Linked DNA regions of Drosophila melanogaster. The protein of the gene in region 2 purifies or fractionates together with the protein of the main gene of each other region. This does not show direct contact. Each region holds a gene or a part of one and is shown on either strand. Other genes may lie near its edges.

Evidence for each region.
Region 1: the proteins of mst (region 2) and CCT1 purify together in Drosophila melanogaster (affinity purification with western blotting; one study listed by BioGRID). This does not show direct contact.

The regions. Positions count from the first base shown.
Region 1 is NT_033777.3:22,477,533-22,493,348, forward strand, and holds CCT1 (chaperonin containing TCP1 subunit 1), read right to left. Parts: upstream 13,908-15,816; 5' UTR 13,884-13,907; exon of another isoform or gene 13,820-13,883; 5' UTR 13,800-13,819; coding exon 13,727-13,799; intron 13,490-13,726; coding exon 13,336-13,489; intron 13,281-13,335; coding exon 12,390-13,280; intron 12,327-12,389; coding exon 11,771-12,326; 3' UTR 11,573-11,770; downstream 1-11,572. Other genes in the region: Nrx-1 (neurexin 1), read left to right, coding at 548-695, 756-1,513, 1,571-1,921, 1,998-2,233, 3,243-3,594, 5,315-6,324; Pfdn5 (prefoldin 5), read left to right, coding at 9,762-9,860, 9,978-10,187, 10,249-10,446; CG5376 (uncharacterized protein), read right to left, coding at 10,550-10,618, 10,679-11,101, 11,153-11,350; tHMG1 (testis-enriched HMG-box-containing protein 1), read left to right, coding at 14,395-14,775; tHMG2 (testis-enriched HMG-box-containing protein 2), read left to right, coding at 15,484-15,486, 15,731-15,816. UniProt on the Drosophila melanogaster protein: Molecular chaperone; assists the folding of proteins upon ATP hydrolysis. Known to play a role, in vitro, in the folding of actin and tubulin.
Region 2 is NC_004354.4:21,381,726-21,397,712, reverse strand, and holds mst (misato), read right to left. Parts: upstream 8,737-15,987; 5' UTR 8,702-8,736; coding exon 8,621-8,701; intron 8,566-8,620; coding exon 7,836-8,565; intron 7,777-7,835; coding exon 6,863-7,776; 3' UTR 6,180-6,862; downstream 1-6,179. Other genes in the region: lcs (la costa), read left to right, coding at 433-870; Ddx56 (DEAD-box helicase 56), read left to right, coding at 9,862-9,927, 9,988-10,739, 10,935-11,363, 11,422-11,857; slgA (sluggish A), read right to left, coding at 13,808-14,013, 14,086-14,263, 14,330-14,683, 14,745-14,919, 14,986-15,164, 15,469-15,533, 15,944-15,979.

The DNA.
Region 1 (15,816 bases), on a different chromosome or scaffold from region 2:
ACTTACTTTCCTTTGGTTTGCGCTGTGGCAGCGATTTTCGATTATCGATTTCGTTTCGTCTTAATTAACAACTACAATTACTATCCGTACCAGTACATTGTATGTAATGTAATCTGCACCTTTCTTTAGTATGTACCAAGCTGCAACAACTAAATAATAACAATACTCCAATTGAATTCCAATTACATTCAGCCACTTGTCGAGTGAAAAATACAAATGCTTGAAAAATCTATGAACCAACAAAACTAGATCTATGTCTACTAAAACCGCATACCTATATCTACTCTATACTCTTATATACTCTTTGACATTTGCGTATGTGCTTCTTGTCACCAACTATACTCCATATACTACTCGTACCAACAACCTATATATATATATATATCAATATATCTATCCAACCAAACGTATACCCATATGTAACCAATGTTAACGGTACTCCGCCTAGTCAACAACTTAGAGCAAAGCCGATCCTGGCTAGACAAACCCCATGGCGAGGCCCCCGAGTTTTATCCATTTCTTGTTCTTGGAAATATTCCTTCCACAGCCGAAACGATTCTGGGTCGCCACAGTACCATGGAGATTCGCTCGGTTCACCTGGGTGGTCTCTTCCACGCCGAGGAGGAGATCCAGATGACCTCCACCATGCCGAACTTTGTGGGTCAGATGCAGGGCTTGGTGTTCAATGGCCAGCGGTGGGTATCGATGTAGCATACTTAAGGAATTGATCTCAATTTCGTTCTCTTCTCACCCAGCTATTTGGATATTGTCAAGAGTCTGGGACCGGAGCTCTCGGCTCTGCCCAGTGCCACCTTCAAGTTGACTGCCCGCTTCGTGAACTCTCCGGCCGGACAGCCCTACCATGCAGCCACGTTCCGCTCCAAGCACTCATACGTGGGTCTGGCCATGTTGAAGGCCTACAACAGCATTTCCATTGATTTCCGCTTCAAGACCGTGGAACCCAATGGTCTGCTCGTCTTCAATGGCGGACGACGCAACGATTTCGTGGCAGTGGAACTGGTCAATGGTCACATCCACTACACTTTCGATCTGGGAGATGGTCCAGTGACGATGAGGGACAAGTCGCGCATCCACATGAACGACAACCGCTGGCATCAGGTCAGCATCAGGCGCCCGGGACCCAAGACGCATACCCTAACCGTGGATGACTCCTTCGAGATTATCAGTCTGACTGGAAACAATATGCACTTGGAGCTGGCGGGTATCCTGTACATCGGAGGCGTCTTCAAGGACATGTACTCGAAGCTGCCGGCCTCGATCTCGTCGAGGTCCGGATTCGAAGGCTGTCTGGCATCCCTGGACCTGGGCGATGCCTCTCCCTCGCTGACCAGCGATGCAGTGGTGCCCAGCTCACTGGTGGTCAGTGGCTGCGAGGGACCCACCAAGTGTAGCCAGAATGCGTGCGCCAACCGAGGAAACTGCGTGCAGCAATGGAATGCCTATGCCTGCGAATGTGACATGACTTCCTACACAGGACCCACTTGCTATGATGGTAATATAAACATTCTACTGTCTTCTTCTTTGATTCATAATATATTATGCTCTTTAGAATCGATTGCCTACGAATTTGGCAACAACAAGGGCATGGTGCAATACACATTCCCGGAAAACGCACAAGCTGACACGGAGGAGGATAATATAGCACTGGGCTTCATAACCACCAGGCCGGATGCAGTGCTACTGCGGGTGGAGAGTGCCACCACGCAGGACTATATGGAGCTGGAGATAGTGGAGGGCAACATCTTCATGGTGTACAACATTGGAAGCGTCGATTTGCCGCTGGGCGAGATCGGAACGAAGGTCAACGACAACGCCTACCATGTGGTGCGGTTCCAGCGCAAGGGAGGCAATGCCACGCTCCAACTGGACGACTACAATGTGCAGGCACTGACGCCACAGAGTAAGTAAACAAGGGGATAGATCAGCACAGGGGGTATCTAATGCTCTACCGAACTTTCTTCTCCAACGACTTGCAGGCCACCACTCCACCGTGTTCAATACCATGTCCAACGTTCAGGTCGGCGGCAAGTTCAGCCGGAACGGTCGCAATCGAATCGAGCGGCCGTTCGCCGGCGTGATTGCCGGACTTTCGGTGAACAAGTTACGCATCTTGGACTTGGCCGTCGAACGCGACCCCCATATCACCATCCGTGGAGATGTTCAATTGGTAACTGGAGTATTAGATAGAAATGATCTGCAGAGAATGCAGCAGGTTAGGGAATTTATTTGAAATTTTATTTGAATTCCTCTCAACTTTCAACTTTCCAAGTATTTTTCTCATCGTAAACCAAGTTTATTCGAAATTCTTTCTTTGATTAAAAACCAAAACAAAAAAAAAAGAAACCAAAATGAAATCTAACCAAAATTGTTGTATTAATCCGCTTCATGAGTTGTGGAACCCCTTTTCCCAAATTGATTTGACATGATTTGATTGCACCACTGAAATTCGAAAACCCATTCGAATACTCGTAATGTACAGTTCCCGAGCACTATCCTGATATTTGAAATGCATATCCGTGTTAATCGTATCGAATGTAACCGCATCTGTACATTGAAGTCATCGTCATCACAATCAAATCCGGGAAATTCGGTTCGACATTCAGTACAAACGTTAACCGTTCCAACTAAACCAAAGTATTAGCTAACTAACTGTATAATCTAGTGTAAATGCTGCATTTGAATTTATGAATTTATGAACTTATGAATTTATAATTTACCTCGGGTGCCTTCGTTTTTTAATGTACCGCTTTGAACGCACCAACCAAATAACAAAAGCCAATTAAGATTTGCCAGATTTTTCACTAACCAGCCATTTGAGTTTCCTCGATTTGTTTCCATTGCTGCACAGCACATTAACCAATAACTGTGAATATATATAATCAGCTATATAAACTGATACGAATTTACTATGCACTAGAATTCGTCGCACTTATGCTGCATGACTCTAATCAAAGCTCACACTGAAACAAAAGCAAGTGATAGCCAGTGGAGAAAGAAAAGTTTGAAGAAAGAACCAATGAAAGAACCTATGGACCTACTCATAAAATTAAATAAATAATAATCTGAAAGAAGCTTCTCCATTGGCTTAATGTGCCCACACCCATCCACACATATATACTTAATCGAACAGCACCTAACAAACTTACTAATCCAGTTAACAAACCCCATACAATAACCATCGCTTGGCCCGGCTGCCGCCAGATCAACTGAAGTAAAATTAGACTTTGAACTCTACTCGACAGACGCCGGCGAGTGGTTATCCGGGTGCGCTGGACGATCTGATCTTCTCGGGAGCCGGATCCGGATGTCGCGGCGACGACGAGGACGAGTGCACGCCGCCATTCGAATCGGGTAGCGGGGATGATCTCATAACACCGGTCTACGTGCCGCCCACCAAGCAGACAACCACGTCCCAGCAGGGGAATAGCTTGAGTACCGGCGGGAGCAGCAGCGGCGGTGTCATCACCAATGGCACGGAGCGTGCCTGCGACGACGAGGATTGCGTCCATGGATCCGGGGATTACGGCGAGACCACGGAACAGTTCACCTCGACGAGCACCGCCCGCGGTTCAGGTGAGTGGCTACAGCGTTGTGTGTTGGTCTCATTTTGTCATTGGCATTTGGATCAATCACGGAAAGACACAAAAACAACAAGAATCTACACCAAGCACACACACACGCGCACACACTTCATCACAGACATTAGCTAGCCCCACTCGAAATTCAAGTTAAGTGTACGCCATTAAGTATACGCCCTAGTAACGTAGATAACGTGTTAACGATTAAGCTGTGGGTTCAATTGTGTTCGAGTTGAAGTTGAAGTTTGAGTTCGAGTTCGAGTTATACTCTATATATATATATGTATATTCGAAGCTCTTGCTCTATATAACCGCATAACCGTTTAGCTAGTGACGCTTTGCCTTTTTCAGTTCAGTTGTTCAATGCTCCACGGAGATCGAGGAAGTTAGGTTATTGCCAATGCAACGCCAATGCTTTGAACGCTTACACAATAAAACAATATATATATATATATAAATATATATGAATATATGTTCAGATATCGCCTCTATCGCACCCCTCGCAATGCATCAACCCAACCAGAAACCAAAATCAATCAACTCGCCGTGTCATCTCAGCTCAGATCAGCCCAGAAAAAACAAAAAAAATATATATATATGAAAAGTATCGCAACAATCGTCGCCTATATCCTTCATCTCCACCTGTTGCCGATGATCGATTGCCTTCTAATTTGAACTGACAACGAGTACGCCTTATGTGTCTCTTTCAGAATGTGAAATCGCCTTCATATTTCTGACTGTGATCGCGCCATGGATACTCTGTAAATTCCCATAAGCAAACAGCAAACCAATGCAACCAATGCAAGCAATGCACTTAGGCTAAGCTTCCAACTAGACCTCTGTCTAACTGTATGACTAACTCTAGCATTAACGAGAGCTAAACCACCAGCAACAGCAACCAATGCAAATAACAAATGCAACTTCAACAGCTACAACAACAACAACTATAACAGCCAGAACCACAACAACAACAACCACACCGATCATTGGCGAGGGTTTTTGGTTGAGTGAGGGTTAAGCGTTAAGCGATAAGGGTTAAGTTAAATGCACCCACCACCTTGCATATATACCGTATATACATATATGTATAGTATATATGGGTGCACCGATCGAAGATGTATATGTTTTGTACATAGTAGCGATAAAAGCAGCGTCTGCAAGTGTAAGATGTGATTTTCCCAGTCCAGTTCCTTATTCACCATCTCCTCCTCCTCCACATTTATTCCCTCGATTGCATAACTCTACCGTTCTTCCAATTCCAATTTGTACATATCGTGCGAATAGATCGAAGGTCCAGCACCCAAAACAACAATGACACACCTCAACATATCTCTCAATATCTACAAATCTCTAATCCTCTCTAACTGTGTTGAATAAACTATTGAAAGCAAAGCACAACTGGCGGTTCAAGTGATTTTTGGGAGGGAAAGATGACTCAATTAAAGGTTTCCGAAGTAAGCACTTTGAATCAGGATTCCGTTTATTATGATTAGTTTCTAAAATTCTATAATAAATTCTTACATATTGGAAGAGAAATTGTGAACCCATGGAGAAAATTTAAAATATCATTTATTCCTTGGGGAATAATGGGGTTTTAAGAAATATCGAGGGTAGCAATGCAACCACTAAGCGCACAAACACACTCGCAACAAACATACAAGTATAGAGCACCCCACTTGAGAACACTTGAATAAACCCAAACCGACTGCTTGCAGAGTCCAACAACGAGATGGTGACCATTACCACCACGGGACGCAGCGATGTGACCACGGAGCAGCACCAAGGCAGCAGTAGCAGCAGTAGCAGCGGCAGCACTCCGTCCTACGCAACCACGCAGTCGAGCAGCAGCAGCAGCAGCGGCGGATCGGCAGCCAGCACGCCGGGTCAGGTGAGCACGACCAGCAGCGTGGCCACATCGTCCACGCAACGGGCGACTAGCAGCAGCACCAGCACGAGCAGCAGTACAACTTCGACGACCACGACAACGACCACCACTCAAGCCACACCGCCACCGGAGATCCGGAGTACGGTCACCGAGCGGGAAACCACGCCCTATGATATTTATATAGCTGGTGGCGGCATGGGTGGGTCCGGGCGAAATGATCACGATCGCATGCAGCTGCCGGACGAGCACCACCCACTGCCACCGTTGCCGCCACCCATTCCGCCGCAAGATCCACCTCCGTACGGACCTTATGGCGGCAACACGTACAACACCAACATGAACAACTACCGTCCAAAGGGTAAGGGCGGCAGAATTAACTCGATCGAGGAGGAGCGTACCGCCATGATAATCGGCATAGTGGCGGGCATACTGATCGCAGTGGTGCTGGTCATCCTGCTGGTCCTGTGGCTCAAGTCGAATGGCGATCGTGGCTACAAGACGGAGAGCGAGAAGGCGGCCGCCTACGGTTCCCACAATCCGAATGCTGCACTCCTGGGAAATACTAGCACCAATGGATCGTACCACCAGCAGCGGCAGCACCATATGCATGGTGGCGGAGGCGGTGGAGGTGCAGGGCAACAGCAGCATCATGCCCAACAGCAGATGCACAATGGGCACAATGGTAATGGAAATGGAGGAGGCGGCGGCGGTGGCGGCATGATGTCCAGCGGAAGTGGGTCACTTGGCTATGGCAGCGATGGGCGACCCCAGATGGCGGGCCTGGTGCAGCCGAAGGCCAAGAAACGCGACTCCAAGGACGTCAAGGAGTGGTATGTGTAAGGCGGCATGGTCGCAGGGAAATATCGTCAAATTAGCAATTAATAGTGCAAAGTGAGCCGAAAGTGAAAGTGAAAGTAAAAGTCCCCCTAAGATACGAGAAACAAAAAAAAAAAAAAACACACACATAAGCGTATATAAATATATTTATTTAGCAGCCTCGTAACGTTAATTAAACAATTAGAAGCGGACGCAGTCGGACATTGGGTGTACAAACGGAAACGGAAGTGGACGGAAGGATAATAATATGTAGATGGCGCCTTGCGCAGCTCGGTAGGTGGGCATCACGCGATTCACGATGGCTGATAACGTTAGCAGCAAGCAGATAGAGCAGATAGCCGGTAGCAGATAACCGATAGCAGATAGCAGATAGACACGCAAATACTTTAGACAAGTGCATCTGGCCAGGAGCATTGGTTCACAGCAAAGGTAACGTTTAGATTACGCCTAAGAAATTATAGCTTCAACTCAAGACTTGCTAATAGATACCACTACCACTGGAGAGCAGCCACAACCATCAGCGAATAAGCAAATTACACTAAACGTATAAAACTATATATATTATATATATCACAGCGTTACGATAAATTATGCCACTAGCCAATCAAGTAATTGTGTAAAATATTTCGCCACAAAGTATGCTATGAAAAGATCGAAGGAAGACGGCCCAAAACCGAAAGCAAAACTAATTAAACTGCAAATCTTCTAGCGAAACCACTAAACAATTTAGCAGAAATTCAATATAAACGTACTTAAATATATATATTTATATGTAAACGTAAAGTAATGAGGTTCTGAGTGGGTTTTTTCTTCGCGTGTAAAGTTACAAAATGTGGTGCTGTAAACGTAGGAGACAAACTTTGGTTGACTACAATAATAGTAATAATAATAATAATGATGACGGGGAATGCAAGAATTTATGCTACAGATTGTTTGTTGAATTGAAACCGGCTTTAATTAGTTAAAATGTAAATGAGATAGTGGTAAACCTAAAGGATAACGAAACGAAATCAAACACGATAATACGGAGGAAACAGTAGAAACCCACGATTTGGTTGACATATACGTGATGCGACTTTTTCGTTTGCGTGCAGCAACTCGATGCTACTTTGAGTTAGTCCCTTCCACTCCCGAGCCCCACACATATACTTTTTATATGTATTTGAGACTAAATATTGTCACCGATCTGCGTGCAATATGAACTCAGACATATCAAGGAAAAGACAAGACACACACACTAGCACACTTACACACGAAACACTCTAACACACACGCAAAATTCGAAGACACTGAAGCGAACCTACCTAGCTTTTCTACAACAACTGCTATTCAATGTGAGCGAACATTACTTTACCGTCGACTAATGAGGAAATCAAGCAACAATTTTACAGTATTATAGCAGCTTTAAGCGTATTTTTCGAAGCCCACGTGACGTATACACAATCAGCAGTCACCAGCACACTCACAGCTTACACCCACATACTATTACACAAGCACACATACATAGACGCGAAATTCGATATTCAGCAAGCCGCCATTAAATTCTGTATACATATTAATAATCGCATATATCATTTTGATGCGCTATATTAAAATTTTTGTCTCACTATCAATACCAATTAGTGTATCATTTTGGATTAGATATACAAAATACCTATATACACTCGATATACTACTACTAATACACGCACACTCACCTCACTCACACAATCACCAACTCACGCATTCGATCACTAGCGAAATTACTGGACATACTTCTCTCGAATTCTTAATGGAAACCAAGGCAAGGTATGCTGTAAATACCTAGGAAAGTACTATATATACATGAATATATATATATATATTTAACAACTAAAAAACATATATATACTGCATTTCAAGAAACTTTTGATATATTTTCGAGTTTTTTAAACCCTTATCTTGTATACAAAAAGGAAGCGAAAGCGAAAACACGAGACAAACTAGCGAATCTAGCTGAAATGAACACCTAGGACAATTACAATTACAAGTACATAGCGAAACACAGTACATACAGTACATACAGTACAGTACAGTACATAAACACAACTATATATACAGGACATACACGCATACATTCAAACTATACTATTTATAAATGTACATCTATACAAAATATACATACATGCATACCATATAACGTACGAGTATGTTTAACGATCAATGATTATTATTACGAATTACGTCCCTTCGATTTGATAATGAAACCAAACGAAAAGAAACCACAAATTTTAACGCTGTTGATAACCAAAACCATTCCCACTTATAAATGTAACACTCTCTCCCGACAACTTTCTCTCTATCTCTTCACAATGTTAATGCTGCACAATGAAAACTCTGCATTTAAAGTAAACCACTAACGTTTATTCGTTTCGATTCAAGAGAAAACCAAATTATATATAACTAATTATACAAATTTGCCTTGCGATTTAACAGCGAGCACACGATATTGAATCCAAAATCCAGATGGGGAGCTTAAAATATCCGCGATTAAGAAATCGAATCGACACGCCCTCAAAAGCAAGATCTTCTTCATTGTTTCAAAACGAATTACATTTTATTAAGATCAAAACCAAATCAAGGTAAATGTTATGTATGTATGATATAGTGGGAGGATCGCGAAGGACGAGTACAGTTAGTTGTATGGGTAAAATAACATAGTTAAAGCATATAACTTAATAGTTCAAGGATCGGAGGAGCAGCGATTGCGAGTGGGAGCGCATATAGAGGGGAACGATCGCAAGTATCGGAACTAAAACTTACTTCTACTTAGGCTTAAAATCATTGTTATCTAATCTATACATATATAAAAACCGACATACAACACCCCACATATAACAGAGAATATGTATATGAACATGTATTGGATGCGCGGCGCTTGAGCTGTGCCTACTTATATATATATAAATATATATATATTTAACAAATTGTAACGTGTATATGTAGCGGCAGTGATTGTTAAAGAAATTGCTTTGTTTTGTGTTAGATTTTATAATTTACGAGAAAACCAAAAACAAAAATTGTAAAACGCATACAAATACAGAATGACTGACAAAACACAGAATTATAACATTGCATATAATAAATACAATAAAACTATAATTGAAAAACAAGTTTGGTTAATGCTTTTTTGCTGAGTAAGATCTGTCTTTAAACTCAAAAGATATTGTAGATTCAGAAGTCACTGATTTTTTTTTTAAATTTTTACTTCGCGCTTAGTACTCGATAACAAATCGTCGGCGGGACTGGACTACCGACTATTTCAACGAATCATTCGATTCCCGATTGCTTCCGTGAAATCGATATTTTCTGACCCAGCTTCATGACATCCCTGTTGAGTTGAATACGCAAAGGTGGCAACCTTATACGGCGACTGAATAAAATAAAAGTGGAATTGTAAATTATAAGTGTAAGCACTAGCAATGGCTGCCACCCCAAGCGCACCCGCCAAGTCCGAGATGATCGACCTGACCAAGTTGAGTCCGGAACAGCTGATTCAGATCAAGCAGGAGTTCGAGCAGGTGCGTTCCGCATGTGGGTGTGTGATGAGTCAAGTGTGCTCGCGGAGGGGGTTTCTGGAGGAGGGGCGCCCCAATTGGCACATGCTTCTAAAATCGGTACATTTTTGTGATCCTTAGGAGATTACCAACGTACAGGACTCGCTGTCGACGCTTCACGGCTGTCAAGCCAAGTACGCCGGATCCAAGGAGGCGCTGGGAACCTTTCAACCCAATTGGGAGAACCGTCAGATCCTGGTGCCCCTGACCAGCAGTATGTATGTGCCAGGACGGGTCAAGGATCTCAACAGGTTCGTCATAGACATCGGCACCGGCTACTACATTGAAAAGGTGATTTACATTTCCAATCGAACCTAGAATATTTATTGATTGCCATCTGTTTCTCAAACAGGATCTGGAAGGCTCCAAAGACTACTTCAAGCGACGCGTGGAGTACGTGCAGGAGCAGATCGAGAAAATCGAAAAGATCCACCTGCAAAAGACGCGCTTCTATAACTCAGTGATGAGTGTGCTGGAGATGAAGCAGGCTGCTGCAGCGAAATTGCAGTCGCAGCAGCAATCGCAGCCGGCGGTTACCCAGAGCTCCTAGACTACGGAGAACGACAGAGACACGAGACACGGAAAGCATTAAATTATTAAACTTATTAACGAGATGTGTGCATTTAATTAACGTAGTTTATTAAATTGTTCAGCTATTTCTTGGCTTCTGCCAAAGCCTTGGTGAGAACCTTGACCTTCTGCTCGTACGCGGACTTAAGATCCTGTAGGGAAAGAAGGTAATAGTATATCAAGTATATCATTGGACTCGAGTTATAAGGCACCTTGAATATCTGTGACTGGGTGTCGTACTCCGAACGCAGCTTGTCATACACTCCTTTGGAGATGGCTAGTTTCTTCTCCGTGAGCACACACTTGTCTTGCTCCGCCTTGATCCACTGCTGGCTCTTCTCCAGACGAGCCTGCGTGTGATCACATTCGGCGGTCTTTAGCTGCAACATGTCCTTGGTCACCTGCAGCACATCCTTAATCGAGTCTACTTGTGTCCTAAGCACTGATATCTGCTGCTCCTGCTGTTTGTTCACCTTGGTCTTCTCGAACAGCAGGGTTTTGGCCTTTAGAAGCAGCTCCTCCTGCTCTTGTCGTGATTTGGGAGCATCTGTGCCGCCCAGCATGACGGACTGCTTGAGCGACTGCTCCAACTGGACCACTCTCCGCTTTAAACGCTCATTTTCCGCCTTGGCTTCCTGCAATCAGGGTCAGTAAGTGGGTGCAGCCCGTGGAGACGAGTAACTAACCTCAAAGTCTTTGCGGAGCGCTCCGATCCGTTTGCGAGACTCCTCTAGTAGTGCCTGTTTTTCGCTTTCCAACGTGAAAACCATGTCCAGCAGTTCGTTCTGCGGCTGCTCCGGCTGACGCACTTCCTCCTGCCCATTTGCTGTTATATTGTTGTTTAGGTCACCGCCAACAGCTTCATCTTCGTTATGATCGGCCATTTTATGAAGAATTCTTTTTAAATGATAAAAATTCGTAGAGCAATGTGCGTTTTCCGTGCTTTTTGGGATGTGTTTTCTTTTTGTATTAATAGACCAAATAGATGCACGCTCTATTTATAGGACATCCCACTCTCCGGATCGCTCTCTGCCTGCTCTTGGCCAGATCGCTCTCCCGAAATAACAAACTGTTTCCCTCCAATTTAGTTTACGCCTCAGCATATTCTGAAGATCAGTTTATTATACATTGAAGCATGGATGAGAAAGGATTGCGGATGTGCGGTGTTAATACAGATCGCGAAGGGCAACACAATTAAATTGTTGTTACAATCAATGGGGCGACAATTGAAAGTGAGTGATTTGATTAAAATTAAATGCCTAAACAAGATAGAAGAAATGTGCTTCGCTCGCGGTGAAGAATGTCTAACCGTCCAGCTCGCCGGCAGCGCATGCATCGGCGTAACTCTTGCCGCTCTTGTCCTCCGGATTCAGCTTGATCATGTCGTCAATACGCAAAATGGTAATGGCGGCCTCCGTGGCGAACTTCAGCGACTTGATCTTGGACATGGCGGGCTCCAAAACTCCAGCCTTCTTGTTGTCCCTTACCACTCCCTCGATCAGATCCAGACCGGTCCACTTAAGATCCGAACGCTCGGGCTTCGTCTGGCTGGAGTTGTGGTAGGAGCGGAGCTTGGCCACTAGATCAGTGGCATCCTTGGCCGCGTTCACGGACAGAGTCTTGGGAATGACCAGCAGCGACTTTGCGAATTCGGCAATGGCCAGCTGTTCGCGGGAAGCCAGCGAGGTGGCAAAGTTCTCCAGGTAGATCGACAAAGCAGCCTCCACACAGCCGCCGCCGGCTACAACCTTCTTGCTCTCCAGCACACGCTTCACCACGCACAGAGCGTCGTGGACGGAGCGCTCCATCTCATCACAGTAGAAGTCATTGGGACCACGCAAGATAATGGATGCGGCAGCACTAAAAAGGCATAGGGATACGATAAAGCAAACTATGTTACTGCATGATATAATCTGCACTTACCGTGCCTTAGTGCCCTTGATGAGGATAAGTTCATCATCGCAGATGCGCTCCTGGGCCACCTCTGCGGCCTCTCCCACCATTGAGGCATCGAAGCTCTCCTCACCGTCCATGTTGGTCAGCGAGGTAATAAAGGCGGCGCCGGTAGCCTTAGCAATGATCTTCAGATCGCTCTTCTTCACACGACGCACAGCCATGGCTCCAGCCTCAACGAAGTACTTCATGCACAAATCATCAACGCCGCCGCTAACCAGTACTACATTGACACCGGTTCCGAGGATCATGTTGATGCGCTCCTTGGTAATGTCCAGCTCACGGGCACGAATAGCCTCCAGCTTGTCGGGATCATTGATCAAGACCTGGACACCCATCTTCATCTTGGTCTTCTGCAGCGAGAAGTCTAGGCAGGCAATCTTGGCGTTCACAATCTTCTTGGGCATCTGCTGGGAGGCAATTGTGCAGTTCAAGGCATAGCCGGGAATCAGCACCGATTCCCTGGCAGACTTGCCATGGGCCTTCAGGACATTGATGGCTTTAATCGAATAGGCTGCCTGCCCACGGGGATCTGTGATTTTCACCGACTGGGCAGCGTCCACAACCATGGCTGAGAAGAACTCTGCGTCAGCACCAATGATCTTGGAGCTCATCGAGGTCTTGGCAATGTTAATCAGGGAATCGCGGCCCAGCTCATCAACGGGAGCGGTCAGATGCTCCGAGATGTACTTGCAGGCCTCCTTGCAGGCAATGCGGTAGCCGGAGATTATGGAGGTAGGATGAATCTTCTGCTTGACCAGCTCGTCGGCGTTTTTCAGCAGCTCAGCGGCCAGGATAACCACCGAGGTAGTGCCATCGCCGACCTCCTCGTCCTGCAGCTGAGCCAGCTCAACCAGGACCCTTAAAATTTAGAAATGAGTACTTCTTTGAAAGATTTCCCACATCAACAACTCACTTGGCTGCCGGGTGCTCCACCTCCAGCAGTCGCAGAATGGTGGCTCCATCGTTGGTCACTGTGACATCGCCGATGTCGTCCACCAGCATCTTGTCCAGACCCACGGGTCCCAAGGAGCTTTTCACGATGTTCGATATGGACAGAGCGGCCATAACTGAAAGCATATAAAAGCCGAGTTGTAGTCATAACCTCACTTCGCATAGGCTTGTCCACAGGATCTTGTAGCTCCTTGGATTCAATGAGTTTTTTTGTTAATCCAATTAAAATAAGATCGCCCTCCCCCGGGTTGGTTCCGGAACATTCTTCGTGGAGAGCGTGACCCGCGATGAGTAAGAAACGTGCTCCGCCGGCAGACGCACCGCAGATGTTGACAAAACCCCGGGATTCTCACCGTTCTGTGTGCGCACCGATGCGCCGGATTGGCGGGTGCCAGCAATGGACAGAGGAGAGGCCAGGGTCGACATTTTCCTAAGTTCTTCCGCGACTTTTAATAAAAAACAGATAAATCAAATACGCTGAAAAACCGCACGTTAAACCGCCTGACTCACTTTAAGACTTCGAGATGAACAAAAACCCGATGTCGATTCGATACTATCGAGTGCAAGATTTTTTCTTGGAGAGCAAGGATTCCATAACATTTATAAGTTTATACTATGTGTTACATTAGCGCAGCATCAAAAATATATAGAACATATATTGGCTTATTTATTATTAGGCATATTTTGCAGCACATTCAAAGCGGCGTTCAAAGTATCGATGGTAATCGATAACCGATTGTTTAGGGAACCCTGGTTGAGCATCAGGTAACGGTTTTTTAAATATTAATTCAAGATTATTATTAATTATTAATTATTAATTATAAAATTGTGCTTTCTGATGGAGTAAAAGTATTCAGTAGGCATTGACTTTGATTTCGCATTACATATCGTGTGCTCTGTAAGATATTTTCAGTTTACCTCTTGATCTCAACGATATACAGCCCAAATCGAAGCATTTCTTACATCTACAACAAATTGTTAAAGTAAACATTTTTTTTAACTTTTATTTATTACGATAAAGATGTCAGACTGCGGAGCGCGCCCCAAAAAACCCATGAGCGCCTTCATGTTGTGGATGAATTCCACCGGGCGGAAGCACATAAAAGCGGAGCATCCCGATTTTAGTGTCCAAGAAGTGTCTGTGAAGGGCGGAGAGATGTGGCGAGCCATGGCCGATGAGGACAAGATCGTGTGGCAGGAGTCGGCCACCACGGCAATGGCCGAGTACAAGGAGAAGTTGAAGCAGTGGAATTTCCCCAAGGAGCACCGCTTTTCGGACACGCAATGTATTTGTTCCTCAAATACTAACCAATGCCCCACCCTTTTTGTGTACGACACCATGGATGACTCGATGACTCCGATCTGCAGGAAGTGCTTATCAAAGACCAGGTGCCTTCACTAAGCGTTTACTACATTTGTTAATTTATTGTTGTACTAAAATCCACAAGCTAATATAAATTTGTTTTTGATAAATTTAAATATTAACACTTTTCGTAGCATACATACAGAAGCGCACCATCAGCCGAAAATGCTTGGCTGTACTCTCCAAGTTTTCCATGTCCTATCTCGCGGGTCTTGGACCAGTATGGCCAACAAAAATCTGTGAAAGCACTTTGCTGGCGGCTTGTTAAAAAAGAGGGAAAACGAATGAAAAACTCGCTAGCCATCAGCGTTTCAACGGTTTGGGGTCCTTTTTTCATAGTTACCTTATTGAATTTTAAAGATCGCACAAAGTATGCCGTGTTACATGCATAATGAGTTACTATAGTGGCTATGGCCTACGAATACGAACGGCTGGGAAAGTGAAAACGTGATTGCATGGCAGGAACATAAATTAAAACTTTGCCTTTTAACTCAATTAACAATGTGGTGTGCGCAGAAAAAAAAGGGAAAACAGTGAAAGTTATTTACTATTTTTAATGGAAAGTTATTTGTAATTACCTACTCAAACTGGCACTAATTAGCGCGAGTTTTTAACTTTTCTTACTTTCACAAAGTTCGCGGAATTAATCCAGGCTATACAGTATTTTTCAGCAGCACATTCAAAGCCACCTTACAGATATTGCTGGAAACCGATAACCGATTGTTTTGGAAGCCCTGGTTGAAAATCATGGTAACGCTTTTTTAAATACTAAATATTGGTGCCTTAAAAATATGCCCTATAATAAATTAAAACTATTCAGTAGGCATTGACTTTGATTTCGCATTACTTATCATGTGCTCTGTAAGATATTTTTAGTTTCGTCTGGATCTCAACGATATTCAGTCCAAATCGTAGAATTTCTTACATCTACTACAAATTTTCCAATTAAATTTTTAAAGTAAACATTTTTTAACATTTATTTATTACGATAAAGATGTCAGACTACGGAGCACGCCCCAAAAAACCCATGAGCGCCTTCATGTTGTGGATGAATTCCACCGGGCGCAAGAACATAAGAGC
Region 2 (15,987 bases):
ATTTTAAGACGCATTTATCCAGCATTCAATTTTATAAAACTTTATTTTCAAATATGTGTAATAGTACCATTTCAATATGAATAATTTATTAAATTCAGAAAAAATAGAGAAGAGTATATATTTTTTATAGACTCATTAACAAAGCTTTGTAACCAACAATTTTGGAAATAAACCTAAACATGAATCAACCATTGTCTACAAACTCATATTCTTTCCATCTGACAGAACCCCAGAGTGAAGGCCAATGTCAATTGCGAAGTGACTGACTTGGAAAGTGGAATTTACAAATCCACACTGACGTTAGTTTGCTCAACGCGCAAACGTCACCGATGGAACACATGTGCCACCGAGACTTTTAGCAGACGGTGGGTATATATACCGATGCCAAGTAATGCCGAGATCAGTTCGAGTCGTTAACTATCAGATAACGAAATGCGTACCCTTATCCTTGTTACTCTTGTTGCCCTGGTCGCAGTGGCCTCCGCCCAAGGACCTGGTCCTTGGGGTCCCGGTGGACCTGGTGGACCTGGTGGACCAGGTCGTGGTCGCGGAGGACCAGGACGTGGACCTGGCGGACCAGGTGGCCCAGGAGGTCGCGGACCTGGAGGACCTGGAGGACCAGGAGGCCCAGGAGGCCCAGGAGGACCAGGAGGACCAGGAGGCCCAGGAGGACCAGGATGCCCAGGAGGACCAGGTGGACCAGGAGGCCCCAAACCATGGGGACCTCCATCCAACCAAACCACATCCACGACAACTGAGGCCTCAACAAGCACTTCCACCACGACAGCTTCGTCCACTACAGTGTCCTCCACTACAGAGTCCTCTACGGAATCCTCGACGGAATCATCCACAGCATCCTCCACAGAATAAATCGCTTGACATGTTCCCCTTCGAGTTTTGCCCATTCGGCTATTCCGGGTTCATAAATAATTGTATATATCAAAAAGCGAATCTGTGCGTAATAAATTTTTTTTTTTAGCTCAATCGTGATTTTTTTATCTAAGTTAATCCTTGAATGCCAAATAGTTATCCAAAGGATCTTCATCCATGTTTGGCTTATGATCAACTTGATGTATCAAGCCAGAAGGTACATGCGAGTACCACGCGAGCCATTTAATTACTTCGGCCAATACTAAAACTTTTCGTGAGTTAAGTAATTTTAGAACAATTAGTTAAATGGCATTATGCAATGCCAGTGCTAAATTATCCACTGGCGATTAGGAAGTGCATTGAGAATTTGAAGCAAATCATTCCCCGGGCCAATTGGAATCGAACTTATTCGAGCCGGCCTCGTTTCTCGCTTGGGTGAAAGCCAAATTGTTTACCAATTAAGTGCATTTGGTCAATTTGCGACAGAACTGGCGCTAGTGGAATCCAAGAAGAAGGTACAGAAGCTTAAAAGGATGAGCCCGAGGAGCAGCAACTGGATTAGGAGGCATTAAAAGTTATAAAACAACAAGATTATGGCTTTGCCATAACGAACACACACGCATTCACTCAACTGGTTATGTGCCAGTGAACAAAGGCGTTTAGGGTGTCCTCTAATAAATACTCTTGTTTTCAGGATGTGTTTCCAGGTCTACGGTTTCTTATAAAAAGAAATTTGAAAAAAAAAAACACTTTAATGTATGTGTATGAGTAACGTGCTATTTCTCAGTTCTGGTTACTTTAGATATTGAATATAAGCCACTCCAAAATGTTGCATTCTTGGATTGGAATGATATGTATTATACAATAAATTGTATGTGATAAGGAACGATTGAAGTGTATATGATTGTGACAGTTTAAAGCATTATGGCTCATTAGTATTAGCATGTAGATAGCATGTAGAAGAATTTGTGTATATATACATATATACATATACACATACATACAGTATGTACATTCGCTTCTGAATATATAAAGTATATATATTCTTGATCAGAATCAATAGCCGCCCACAATTTTTTTACATTTTTATTAGTCTTGTAAATTCCTATCGATGTACAATAAAAAACTTTTTGCCACGACCACTCTAACGCCCTAAAACCGCACAAAACTGCCACGGCCACATTTTTGAACCATTTTTCGATATTTTATCGAAAATAACTCTACGAACTCGACTATAAGATTCCCTCTTGTTTTTATGTCGAATGCTGTAGCGGCTTATTTTTGATTGAAATCTGATAATTTTTCCCCCCTTATATATTGTTTAAGTAGACAACCTGGTCGGCAGTGGGCCAACGATAGTTGTCTTTTCCTCAATTACCACCAGTTACGTCCTTATCAAATCACGCTTCATCCATTCAACAATTAGCACCGATAACTAATTTATGGCCAGGATGCCGCATTTGGGATACGGTTTGGTGAAAAGGGGCAAACGAGAAGCGAGTTGATTGTTTTGAAGTGGAGCATTTACACGTAATAACAATTACAAATTCGCGCGCTCCATAAATCAAGTGAAGCCATCTTCTGGAGGCGCCCCTCCATACCTTCCGTACCCATTTCAAATGAACTGGCCAAAAAAACCCTCCCCAATTCGGCTCCAACTGGCTGCTCCTGGGCACTAATTACAATTCAGGACGCGTTGCACTCGAAAGTTGTTGCTCATTCAACACTCGACTCCTGGAGTTGAGTGGTGAAGTCGCATGGGGGGAGGTGGCTGGGCGGTTGGGCGGTTGGGCTGTTGGGTAGTTGGATGGGTTGGGTGCCTGGGCTGTGGGTGCTGGTGGGTGGTTAACTTCAAAGTGTCATCGCCTCCTGGATGGCTATGGCCTCGAAAAGTGTTGTTGTAATTAAATTATGTGCCAAGTGACGTTCTCACAATCGTTCTCTTCTCCTTTTCGCATACACTCAAACAATAAACCTAGTTAAATGGTTAAGAAAAAATGTATTACTATTACACCTGACGCAATAAATTAATTTTAATAGAATGGTAAAATATACTACGAAATTTACACTATACATCAACCTAGTTAGTGCACATAAATATATGAATGTTAAACGGGTATATTTGAGAATGTTTACTTACCACAACCGCCGAGACCTCTAATTTCCCCGAGTACAATACAGGATGGCATTCCCGTGCTAGCCCTCCTTTGGCCCTCTGCTGTCGTCCTTTTGCTATCTCCTCAGATGTTGTGGCAAATTAAGTTTGCTTTTGTTCTAGATTAAAAAGGCATTGAAATGTCGACATCGAAGGGCGGTGGGTGGCAGCCGAATGAGTGGGTGGTAGTAAGCGGCAGTTAAAATGACGCCTTCGGCCAAATTTAGCTAACTTTGTTAAGTTTGTTTTGGCCGCGGGAGCCGAGTGTCGGACGCCGCCTCCGAGTACCTTCGCCGGATGATGAAGTGCCCAGACGGCGATGGAACCACAGATATAGCCGGGTGCGGATGATGGGGGCTGCCAAGACGGGCAGAAATTAAAAATCAACTGCCGCGTGGGCGAACAAGCCGAGCACTTAAGTAGCTGACCAACTGAGTAATTGAAGGAGCTAATTGAAAACGAAGGGATAAAGGGATAACGGAGCTCAGGATACAGAGAGAAACGTTAGGATTACATTACTGTGTGCTTTACTTTACTAGTCAACTAGTCAACTCTAAATCGGGAAACCTGGAAACCGATTAAAAAATTGCGCGGTAGATTCTCGCAATCATAGATTGATCATAAATCATTAAATCATACAGCTGAGTGGAGTCAAAAATAATAGTCAACTTAAAAGCGAGATCTGTTGAATAAAACTAATTCGAAATGAAATTTTATATAAAGAAAAAATGTTAACAAATATATCTTAACATGTATGGCAACTTTATTGATATTTAATAAATGCCTATATTCCTATAAAAAAAAAAAACTAGTTTTTTATGCGTTAAATAATAGCCATCACATCACATACTAATCCAAAAACTTGAAGTCATTGGAATCCCTTCAGCCTTGCTAATATGGAATCCTTTATAAATGAATCGAATCTAATTAGTACAATCTAAAACCATATCCTCAATGAGTTCCTCGAGCCAGTTATACTGGCCTAATACTATTAACCATCTTAGATCAAGTGAGTGAGTTAAGTTGTGTATGCACTTAGACTCGCTTAATTTCTACAAGCAGCTCCAGCTCGACTTCAATAACCATCGTTCCTGATGCCAAGCCAAGAAGCTACTGCTTAATACTGATTAGATCAGGCTCGCGACGTATTAGCACATAACTGCACCAGAGAACCCACCGACACTGTCCCAGATCTTGGTGTCTTATTCGATCATAGGATCTGGATCAATGTAGAGCGATCCATAAGTAATCCACCAATGGCTCCCATTTCTGGCCTCCGAAATCCGTACAGAACTCGTCACAGTGTTCTCTTCCTACCCAAGCTCATTAGCGCTCCTGACACTTGCCACCTGGAAGGTGACTAGCTGCCGGATACAGCCGTCAACATTCCTTACATACATATGTGCATGTTGAATAACTTCAGGTTTAAGGCATTTTGAGTTTTAAATAATTACGAATTTATGATGACATTAAATTCCAATGCAATTATGCATTTCGTTCTCAGTGTACCTACCAGTGTCCCAGTGTCCCTGTGTCCCAGTTAAAATATTAACTTCTTCTTTTACGTTTTAGATTGGAGCTGTGCAAATTTGGCCTACAAAATGAAACTATTTTACATGCCTCGCCTGGTTTTATGCCCACATTCCAGGCGCTTAAAGATCTGCCTGATTATTAAATTTAAATTCTACAGAAGTTGACACCCAGTGAGTGGCCCAGTGTTTGGATCAGAGCTGGTGCAGCCCACATTAATCAAATACATGTATTGCAGGTGGAGTGAGTGGCGGCTGGATGTGCAGTGACAGGACTGCATGCTAATGCAAGGACTCGTCCCAATTCACATGCAGACCGAACCGGACCGGACCGGTCCGAATCGAAAATGAAAACGAAAACGAAACAAAATTAAAAGCTGCAAAAAACAATATACGAAATATATACACTCCACTAGCTCGGCAGGCTATTCAATTTGGCATTTCGAATTCCACGCACATATTCCATTAAAGTCGTTGGCGTAATTTTAATTTCGGATTTGGTCCTTTTTCCCCGGAAGTACACCAGCAGCAGCTAGAGAACAGCAGCTGCTTTAAGGACCTGTGCTAAAAAGACGGCAGAATGTTAAAGGAGCGGTGCCAATCAAATTGAAATTTAATTTGCAAAACAATGTGGACGCAGGACGCAGGGCTGGTGCGGAAAACTTGACCGGCAAACGGAAAACACTCGCCCAAATTATGAACCCCCTTCTCCAGGCCCTAATCCCAATCCCAATCCCATCCACCTAGTCGCCGCCCGTTAGCAGTCCATAAAATTGTGATTTACTCCCGTTGAGATTTCAATTACTGCCGCTTTATTGACAATAAATTTTCGTATAAATTAAGCGGCCCAGCTCCCGATCCAATTCGATCCGATCCGTAAGGGTTAAGGTTAAACAAAGCGGCCAGTAGCCGCACGTAGACGTCGCGGAAAGGTGAAGTCGACCAGGAAGGGTCCTTGGGGTCAACGGAGAAGATGGCAACCAATTCAAAAGACCGAATTCCGGTTACCCAGTGGTTGCGTAGGTCCGTGGCGTTATTTGTGTTTGATATGAAAGCATAGCGATTGTTTTATATTTTTTTTTATATTTCATAAAGGCAAGAGTTTTAAAAAGAAAATCTGTAAAAAAGCTGACAAATTACATAGATAAAAGTAATTCAGAAATAAAAGCACACATCCCTTTAATTTATGTTTAGTGCAAGTAAAAACTCATTAGTCCCAAAACAGTTAGTTCAGTTTTTTGACTATAGAGTCTATCCTTTTTAATAAAGACCTTTTCAATAAATTAATATGCCCCTGGCCTTTTCCAGGATAGCAGGAATAAAAATTGATTGCCATGCAAATAAAAATTCACCGATTTCTTTAGGCACGTCCATGTCGTCATGGTCGCACAGTGGGCGAAATAGCCCATCCGGCACGCATAATTTAATAACTTCCTAACGATGAAAGCCAACATTTATTATGAGATATAATGAGATTAACGATTTCCAAGCTCAAACACCTTTTATTACATATTATCCCTAAAATGTTTTTTAACACCATTAACATTAGTACGCCAATCAAAATGTTTATAGTAAGCAAATAGTTTAAGACAAGGTTTTTAACAGCAGATAAATTCCAAGAATTCAGCTGAGAAACTAAAGATATAAATCGATGTAATTATAGACCTTGTAGTCACAAACGTTTTACCGCTCAGAATTAAACATTTTTTTTAAATACTTATCAAATTGGCCATTTCGACCATTCTGCGTTATTAGAAACTTCATTGACGACTCTCAAAATTCTCTGCCCAGACAACATTGTTTTTGTTTTGTTTTGTTTTGTTTTTTACTTTCCTCGCTTTCCTGGAAACGCGAAAATATCAAAGCCGCTTCCGAGACTGCCAATCACAAAGTGCCGCGGGTGGGGCCACAGCCCATCAACTTCCGCTCCGGGTAAAGCTAACCAACCTGACACCTTAGAGGACAAGGAGCATGGCACATTAAGCTTATACATACAGGCCGTAACAATGGTTTCGAGAACATTTTAAGCTAAGCAAATAATATATGCATCGATAGGTTGAGTTTGGTTACAACAATCTTCACGAGAGTCGTAAAAATAAAAGAGATATAGGAATTCTAAGGGAATTACAATTTAACAGAAATAAATGCACAAGAACTAATCAAATTATGTCGTTTGAACTAAACGAAAATATAATTCGGAGGCAATATAAAATGACATATTCATCTTGAATTCGACTGTATACGAGTGTTTTTTGTGTACATAATCCTAGGCTTATCACAAAATCTTAGTTTCCAAAACCACAGCATCCTATAGATACTGCGAGTCTGCGTAAAGGTCGCGGAACTCAAGCAGCTGATCCAGCGCCGTATCGTACTCATCCCGCTCCAATCCAGAATTAGAGTACGCTTGCAACTTGGCCAGCTGCACTCGATGCGATTGGGCGTGCACATTGTCCAGATGCTCGCCCAGCTTGGTGGAGTTCTGTACGGCGGCCAGCATGGGTGCCGAATCCACACGACTACCCGTCTCGCGTTCCGCCCCCTCAGGCAAGCGGTAGCCATCGCGTGATATACCGGCTGCAAACATTTCATAAGGAAAAGGTAGCTGTGTCTTTAGTGGCAGTGGTGTGGCTGCCGCATTTGTAACACTTCCATGATAGGTGCACTGGTAGTATAGCTGCAGCATATGGGATATACTATCGCAGCTATAGGCAGCCATCCGAAGTTGATCGCCGGCCAGCTCCCTGGGCCGTTTCAAACGTTCCGCGGGAATGCCACGAGCCGTCACTGATTGCACCACGTAGGATGTGCCAGGCTCACAGCCCGGTGTGAGTTGTGTGAGCAGCGCGTGGTCGCCACTCTGGTCTAGAAACTCTATCAGATCCTGACCCTCCCTCAGCCCAAATGGCAGAGCCAATCCAGCGGCGGTCATCTTTCTGCCCGCTGGAGTGACGCATTCGCAAAAGCGTAGCAAAGATTCTGGCGTTTGCCGCAGGCGGTAACTCAAGGTGGCCGTGTCGAAAAAGGCGGCCAGCAGCGCTGATGTCTGGTAGAGGTTATCCGTCTCCCACTGGAGTCCCGGCAGACTGCGCGACTTCAGATTATTGTTTCGCCAGATGGTCTCCAGCGTGGATAGCGGCGTGAACATCAAAGCCTGCTCGCTGAGTTGGTGGTAGCCCAACACATTGTTTACCACCCGAATGCTGTGCGACAGGCGGGTATCTGGGAATTGGGCAAACTGTGTTAATATGCTAGATTTCTTTAAAAATCACCTTACTTACCCGCTTGGGGATAACTAGTGATCCTGGGATAGTGAAGTGGCAGCGCGAAACTCGCCCGGCTGTACTCATCGTTGAGGTGCTCCAGGCACTTCCCAGCCAGTCCGCCGAAGCCATCGTCAATGTCGAACAGCACGTGGAAGCCCTGCAGGCCATCGCACTCCTCTACATACAAACGGATACGATCGCAGAACTCCTCGTTGAAGGAGACTTCCTGCCACATTTCTGTTCCGGCAGAGTAGGTACCCAGGGCTTGGGCAGTCGGATCTCGGATCAGCCCCGGCAAGACATTCAAGGTTCTCGGGTGATACCTGGCGTAAAGGAAGTCCACCCAACTGTTTGCCGTCGCTGCCAGCTGATAGTTCTTCTCGGGCACCACAGCATTCTTGAGCAGATCCCGCTGATATTCGGAAATGGAGGCCTTCGACTGCTCCTGCACTTCCAGCTGCTCCGGTGAGCATACGCCGCTCTCCTCTGCCCGCTTGCGAACCTGTTCCAATTCCTCTCCGGTGCTCAGGGGCAGCAACTCCTCATCACGCTGCACAAAATTGCCGTACAGCTCGCCGGTCACCGGCAGATGTCCCAGGGTCCCGGACAAATCCACGGACAGCAGGCGGGGCGTGTAGGTGGTACGATTGAGGTCGTTGCGCCCTTCACGGTACAAAATATCATTGTTGGGCAGCTGCTCCTCGGCCACCTGTTCGCTTTCGTCTCCGTACCTAAAGTTGGCCTCCTGGAAATGTGTAATTCGTGAGGCTCCCGGCTGCCAAGTGGGTAGGACAACTCACCTGCTGGTTCCAGAAGTGTGTGCCCACGTAATTCGCGTACGTTCCGAACTGGAAGGTCAAAATTTCACGTGTATAGTCCATAACAGCCGGCGAAAGTGACTAATTCGGATGCAATTGCGCGAGCCCGCGGAACTATCGATTTTCGCGGATATATCGATAGCTGTGTGCGGTAATAAGCGTTCTTAATTTCGTTGATTGGATACTCTGTATTAAAAATAAATATATTTAAAAATATTATTTATAACTGCAAAAAAGATTTATATATTTTGAAAGTTTTATAGGAATATGTTATGTTTATTAATTTTACTTATGTATGTAAATATATCGATATGACCTTAATGTCTATCACATTGAGAAAAAAAACATAAGAAATACGAGGAATTTTTACAATAGAGCATAACAACCTTAATATGTAACCCGCAAAAGCCGATTGCAAACTTATCAAGTCATACGGTAAAATCTCAAAAAAGAACGGTAGCGTTTGTGGCTCCAATTGTTTAGTTATTGGATTGCAACGGATTTTATTTTCGGTCGATACGGTGAAACCTTATAAATAGGATCTCCGAAAGAAGAAGCTATAAGTCGGCTTAAACGTATTTTTAAAGAAATTGTCGATTCCCATAGATTCACATATCCATTCAGACGGAGGATAAATAAGTCAGAAAAGAGCGAATTATGAGATTTCTCTAATAAACTAGAAAAGAAGTTAAGGTGCTATACAATGTTAAGTTAAAATATTTAATTGCTGATTTTTACACACGTTACTCGTAGAATAAAAGGGTATACTAGATTGTGTAACAGGCAGAAGGAAGCATTTCCGACTATTTAAAGTATATATATTCTTGATCAGGATTAAGGATTAGGAGCCGAGTCGATCTAGCCAAACTTTATAAATTTTTTCTAATTTTATTCCCCAATTAGCTATTGATATCCCAGAAAAATGATGAAATTTCGCGTTCGCATTCACACTAGCTGAGTAACGGGTATCTAATAGTCGGGGAACTCGACTATGGCATTCTCTCTTTTTATTTATTTAATTTAATAAATGGAATATATTAAATTTTTTTTAAAGGTATTTGCTTACCTTTAAAAGTAGATTTCAATAACTGTTTAATTCAACTATCGATAAGCCGATAAAGTCGCCGATAATTCAATGGACCGATGCCTCGCTCTTTTTCTTGTTGGGCCAGAAAACGTGCGCTGCGCATTTTCCAGCGTTTTTTTTTATACCGTCGCCCACCATGAGCCAGATGACCCAGAAAACGGTGCAATTCCACGAGCTGGAGCTGGATCAGCGCATCCTTAAGGTGAGTGCCCGGCTTGCGACCGACAGTTCCAGATTTTAAAGTGTTGCGCTCATCTTTCAGGCGGTGGCCCAGCTGGGTTGGCAGCAGCCCACACTTATCCAGTCGACGGCGATACCGCTGCTTCTGGAGGGCAAGGATGTGGTGGTGCGCGCCCGCACCGGATCCGGCAAGACTGCCACCTACGCCCTGCCACTGATTCAGAAGATCCTTAACTCCAAACTGAACGCCAGCGAGCAGTATGTGAGCGCTGTGGTCCTGGCGCCCACCAAGGAGCTATGCCGGCAGTCCCGTAAGGTGATCGAGCAGCTGGTCGAGTCCTGCGGCAAGGTTGTACGCGTGGCGGACATTGCCGATAGCTCCAACGACACGGTGACCCAGCGGCACGCCTTGTCTGAAAGTCCCGACATTGTGGTTGCCACACCCGCCAATTTGCTGGCCTACGCCGAGGCTGGTAGCGTGGTGGATCTGAAGCATGTGGAGACCTTGGTGGTGGACGAGGCGGATCTGGTGTTTGCCTATGGCTACGAAAAGGACTTCAAGCGGTTGATTAAGCACCTGCCTCCCATCTACCAGGCTGTCCTAGTCTCCGCTACTCTAACCGACGATGTGGTGCGCATGAAAGGCCTGTGCCTGAACAACCCGGTTACGCTTAAACTCGAGGAGCCGGAGTTGGTGCCGCAAGATCAGTTGTCGCACCAGCGCATTCTGGCTGAGGAAAACGATAAACCGGCTATCTTGTACGCCTTATTGAAGCTGAGACTCATACGCGGCAAGAGCATAATCTTTGTGAACAGCATCGATCGGTGTTACAAGTGAGTAAACCATACGAATCCCGCCTTAGATGCACAGGAGCCAATGATGATTAAACCACAAATGCAGGGAGTGGGCAGCTGGCAACAGTTGGCGCACGCATGACCAGCAACTAATCTTCTCGCTGACGGCATTCCCATCCGCCCCTAAATACTTACTATAATTCGTTCTAATTATTACCCATTTAAATGTTTCAGGGTTCGATTGTTCCTAGAGCAGTTCGGCATCCGTGCCTGTGTCTTGAACTCCGAGCTGCCTGCCAACATTCGCATCCACACAATTAGCCAGTTCAACAAGGGCACCTACGACATAATCATTGCCTCCGACGAACATCATATGGAAAAGCCAGGAGGCAAATCAGCGACTAACCGAAAATCTCCTCGAAGCGGCGACATGGAGTCGAGTGCTTCCCGCGGCATTGACTTTCAGTGCGTGAACAACGTAATCAACTTCGACTTCCCCAGGGATGTCACGTCTTATATCCATCGGGCTGGCAGGACGGCTAGAGGAAATAACAAGGGCTCCGTCTTGTCCTTTGTCAGCATGAAGGAGTCCAAGGTAAACGATTCAGTTGAGAAGAAACTGTGCGATAGTTTTGCAGCCCAAGAGGGCGAACAGATCATCAAGTGAGTATAGAATAACATCTTCAAAATTGTAATATTGCTAAGTGTGCCATCACTTCAGGAACTACCAGTTTAAAATGGAAGAAGTTGAGTCCTTCCGTTATCGTGCTCAGGATTGCTGGCGGGCCGCAACTCGCGTAGCTGTTCACGACACTCGAATTCGAGAGATAAAGATAGAGATCCTCAACTGCGAGAAACTAAAGGCATTTTTCGAGGAGAACAAACGCGATCTGCAAGCGCTTCGGCACGACAAGCCTCTGCGCGCCATCAAGGTACAGAGTCATCTCTCTGACATGCCCGAGTACATAGTGCCAAAGGCCCTGAAGCGAGTGGTTGGAACGTCCTCTTCCCCTGTCGGAGCCTCGGAAGCCAAACAGCCACGACAGTCGGCCGCCAAGGCTGCCTTCGAGCGGCAGGTCAATGATCCTCTGATGGCTAGCCAGGTGGACTTCGGGAAACGGCGTCCTGCCCACCGGAGAAAAAAGAAGGCGTTGTAGGGTAGCAAATGGTATCTATAGTCGCATTAGTCAATAAGGAAATAAAGTTAATATTGTTAATGTAAGCCAAACATAAAAGCGGCCGTTGAAGATGTTTGGAATTTTAAAAATGTTATTTTACCCTAAATTAGAAATGAGTAAAATTAAACGAAAAATATACCTATGTTGGAGATAGCTGCAGATTGACAAACCCAGGTTATTTTCTTTATATATATGAAAATTCTGTTAATTTAGAATTTTGTAATAGGGCTGTAAAAATAACCAATTGCACATGCACATTAACAATGTAGTTTGTTAACTCTATCGATGATATATATATATTTATTTGCATGCCCGCCAAATGTGTATGTTTGTACTTATCCAGCCGATAAGCAAGTAAGTGAATGTCTTTTTAAACTCAGAAACTTGACAAGTATATGCTTAAAACGGCCGCTGTTCGGGTGGCGGTAAGTGGTAACCACTTACCCAAATAGAGGCAGAAGGCACTATATCATTTGCTCAACTTTTCTGACAGCGGACGGAAAATGAAAATAAAAAATATCTACGAGTCAGTCACATTACCCAAAGTGCCAGTAGTTCCGTAGGTCACAGCGACGATTATGCAGCAGCTGGATACCATTTAAAGTCCATTACACCGAGAGTCCCAGGAAAAATAGATCACCATTAGGGGCGAAATATAAGCGATGCATGCGTATTCGTTTTTAACATTTTATTATTGTCATTGAAATAGTTAACATTCATACAATTATTTATTCATTTATTTATAGCGTTTATGCAATACAATAATAATCATGAGGGTAATAATGAAAAACTAGTCGGTTCGATCTGCGCGGCTTAGTATATGGCCAAGTCTGACTGTCTATATCTGTTGTTGTCTGAGAAATCGAAACGCGAAATCAGATATGGATATTGAAACGTATTGAAAATAGGGGGAGAGTTTTTGTAGCGGGCTCTAATCCATCGACTATCATAGTAATGACTTTTATAATATCGCTCCGTTAAGTGCTAAATTAAACGTAAACATTTAAGTTAATTTAGCATAATCGTAATAAAACTCGCTAGGTTTAGGTATAGGTATGCGCGGTTGGCTATCCCAGGCTCCTATGAACAGTATTATTTGACTATTTTAGATCGGATGGCCACGAGATGGAGGAACAAATGCTCTGCACACTCCATAACTCGCTGCCATTGCTCTATATAAATATATAGTTTATGGTATAACTTAGGGAAAACGAACATGAAATCACATTGCAAATGAAGAATGGACAACTAACAACTGATAAACTGATACTGAGGAACAGGCACAATCACGAAGTTAATGAATCTAGACTAAAATGCAGCCATACACATACATGTATCTATGTAGACATATCTCTATAAACGTTTGCTCTCATTATATTGTATATAATATGTATATACCATACGTTTTATGCTTTATTTGTTACGATGCTAAAAAATGTTCGCTTCAATTCAATCCCCTTTTTCAAAATCCTCGTTGTGGAAGTCCCACATTCGCTTTCTTACTTTTTTGACGTTTTTCAGTTGGTTTTTTTCTATTTTTTTTTTCTTTGTAACACACATACAGAACTTGTTTAGATTATTGTTGCAACATGACGTAAAAATATACATATTTTCATCAAAAATTACCACCGCTCAGTGCTACCGTCTCTAATTGAAGTTGTTTGTGGGCGAAGAAGGTCCTGCGGATTCGCAGGACAACACATTGCCGCTCTTTTATAGGATCTTGGTATATACACAAGTTTTTATATATGTATATACTTTGAATATACGGAAATTTCGTTAGAGTAATAAGAACGACAAAAAAAAACATTAAAATAGGTCCGAAGCGATCGATTTCCTGGCGATATCCTCAGCCGGATATAATTGGCAACCGATTTGCCGCCTCAGGGATGTGTGTGGGTGAGAGTGATTCCATCCATCTAGGCCAGCTTAGATGGGCACGTAATTGCCCTTGGGCTTGTAGAACAACTGGCCACGCATCAGACGGCGCCGAATCTCGGAGAGCAGCAGGCGTTTTTCCTTCTTGATCTTCTTGAGCACACCCTTGTTCTCCTGGGCACGACGAGACAAGTAGGGCAGCACCTCTTCGACTGGGCCATATGGTATGTACTTGTACGCCGAGTATCCCGCTTGACCTGTTGGTTTGAAAGAACACATATTATAAACACATGGAAGACAAGTGAAAGGGGTAGGCTATGGAAACAGACCCAGTGGAAAGGTAATGTAGTCGCACATGCCCAGCAGTTGGCCGAAGCAGATCACCTTGTCCTCCGGTGAGATGCCGATCTCCTTCATCTGCTGGATGGCAAATCGTACGGTGTCTTCGTTGTGCGAGGCCACCATAATACCAATCTTCCTGGCATCGTCATCACAGTCCTTCATCAGCTGAGGTTATTAATAAATACTTGGTTTATTTATAATCACTTATAACCAAAGTCCACAAATTCCCACCTTAATGCGTCGCAAGCACTCCGACAACGTCCTGTGATACATGTCCGTGGTGGCCTCGAACGTGGGATTTACCGGATCCGGGTAGCCCAGCGACTTGGCACGGTCCCGCTCCTGGTCCATATAGGCACCGCGCACCAGCTTGGCGCCGAAGTAGAAGTTCTGGCGCTTGGCCTGCTCCAGATCGGTGTTCACCTCGCGGAACGTCTCGCGCAGATAGCACTGGTACGTATTAAAGACAATGGCCTTGTCCTTGTTGTACTTGCGCATCATTTCCAGGGTGATACGGGAGATGGCCGGCTGGAAGTAAGTCTGCTCCGCATCCACCATGATACGCACATCCAAGTCCGCAGCAGCCTGAGGTTTGGAAATACCATATCAGTACGATTTCACAGCTAGAGTGAAAAAAACCATTTACCTTTACAATCGTGTTGAGACGACGGATCATGTTCCTGAACATCTCCTCCTCCTTGGGCGGTATTTGTGAGATCAGTCGACGCATCTGTCCGGTTTGGGGATCGGGAACGCGGAACGTGTCGCTCAGCTGCGAGTCCTCGTCAACAATGCCCGACCAGGGGAACAAATGCAAAATTCTAGATGAGATAGACGAGCATATAAAGTCAGATCGGTAAGAGATTAGATAATATAAACGGACTAACCCCTCCTTATCGGACGTTACATTGTTCAGGAACTCCTTGACGTCCTTATTGTCGCCCAGCGTGGCGTAATACTTTTCGAGATCCTTGATGGTCTTGTGGTGAGTCAGCACATTGCCCTGACCGCCCACCATATCCTCCATGTACTTGCGTGTGCGCATGATTACCTCGGACAGTTGCAGCTGCAAAGGAGGATCGAGGTCATCAGAGTTCATCAGTTGATAAACAAAAGCATATGTATGATTTAGATTTACAATGCTTCTCTATAGTATGGTAACATTTTAAGAGTTTTGATTTTACAATTTTAACCGCAGCAAAAAGTGAAACGTTTACGAATCAGTGGCCTTTACTATGTATCTATTAGCGTCAATTAACTGTGTTCATTTCCCATTTATTAACACCTATTAACCCCTGTGTTTCCCCCACAAATAAAGCTAAGCTACTCAATTATGTGGTTCTCAAGGGGATTACTTTGTGCGAACTTACCAGCAATTGTGGACGGCCCAGGGCGGTGAGTTTAATGGCGGTGATGCCAGTTCCAAAGGTGGCGCCTGCAGGTCGATATTCGGATCAATCGATGGTTGGTTGTTGGAAATGAAAAGCGTTTGGAAAAAGAGCAGAGCAATTGGTGAATGCAATGCGATGGCAGAGGCGAAAGTTGGAAAGCGGACTCTACAGTCATATAGCACATATGTCTAACTACGGCACATAAAAGCGTAAAAAGCTACGGATACGAGACGAGTACGAATTGAGCTGAAGACACAGAGATACGAAGCAACGACAAAACCTACGACATTGCATTACAGCAACCAACTGAAAAAGCATACGAAATGGCTAGAAAGTCAAACTAGTTTGCTTTGCTCGCTCGAAATACGGATTTGGCCATCAATGGTTACTCTTCCGGGTATTTCGGTTACTTGTTGGCATTTTGGGATGTGTCTTCGTTAATTTCTCGGCTTACCCGTGGCCACTGCCCGGGGCGCCTTGCGATCATCATCTGTTCAT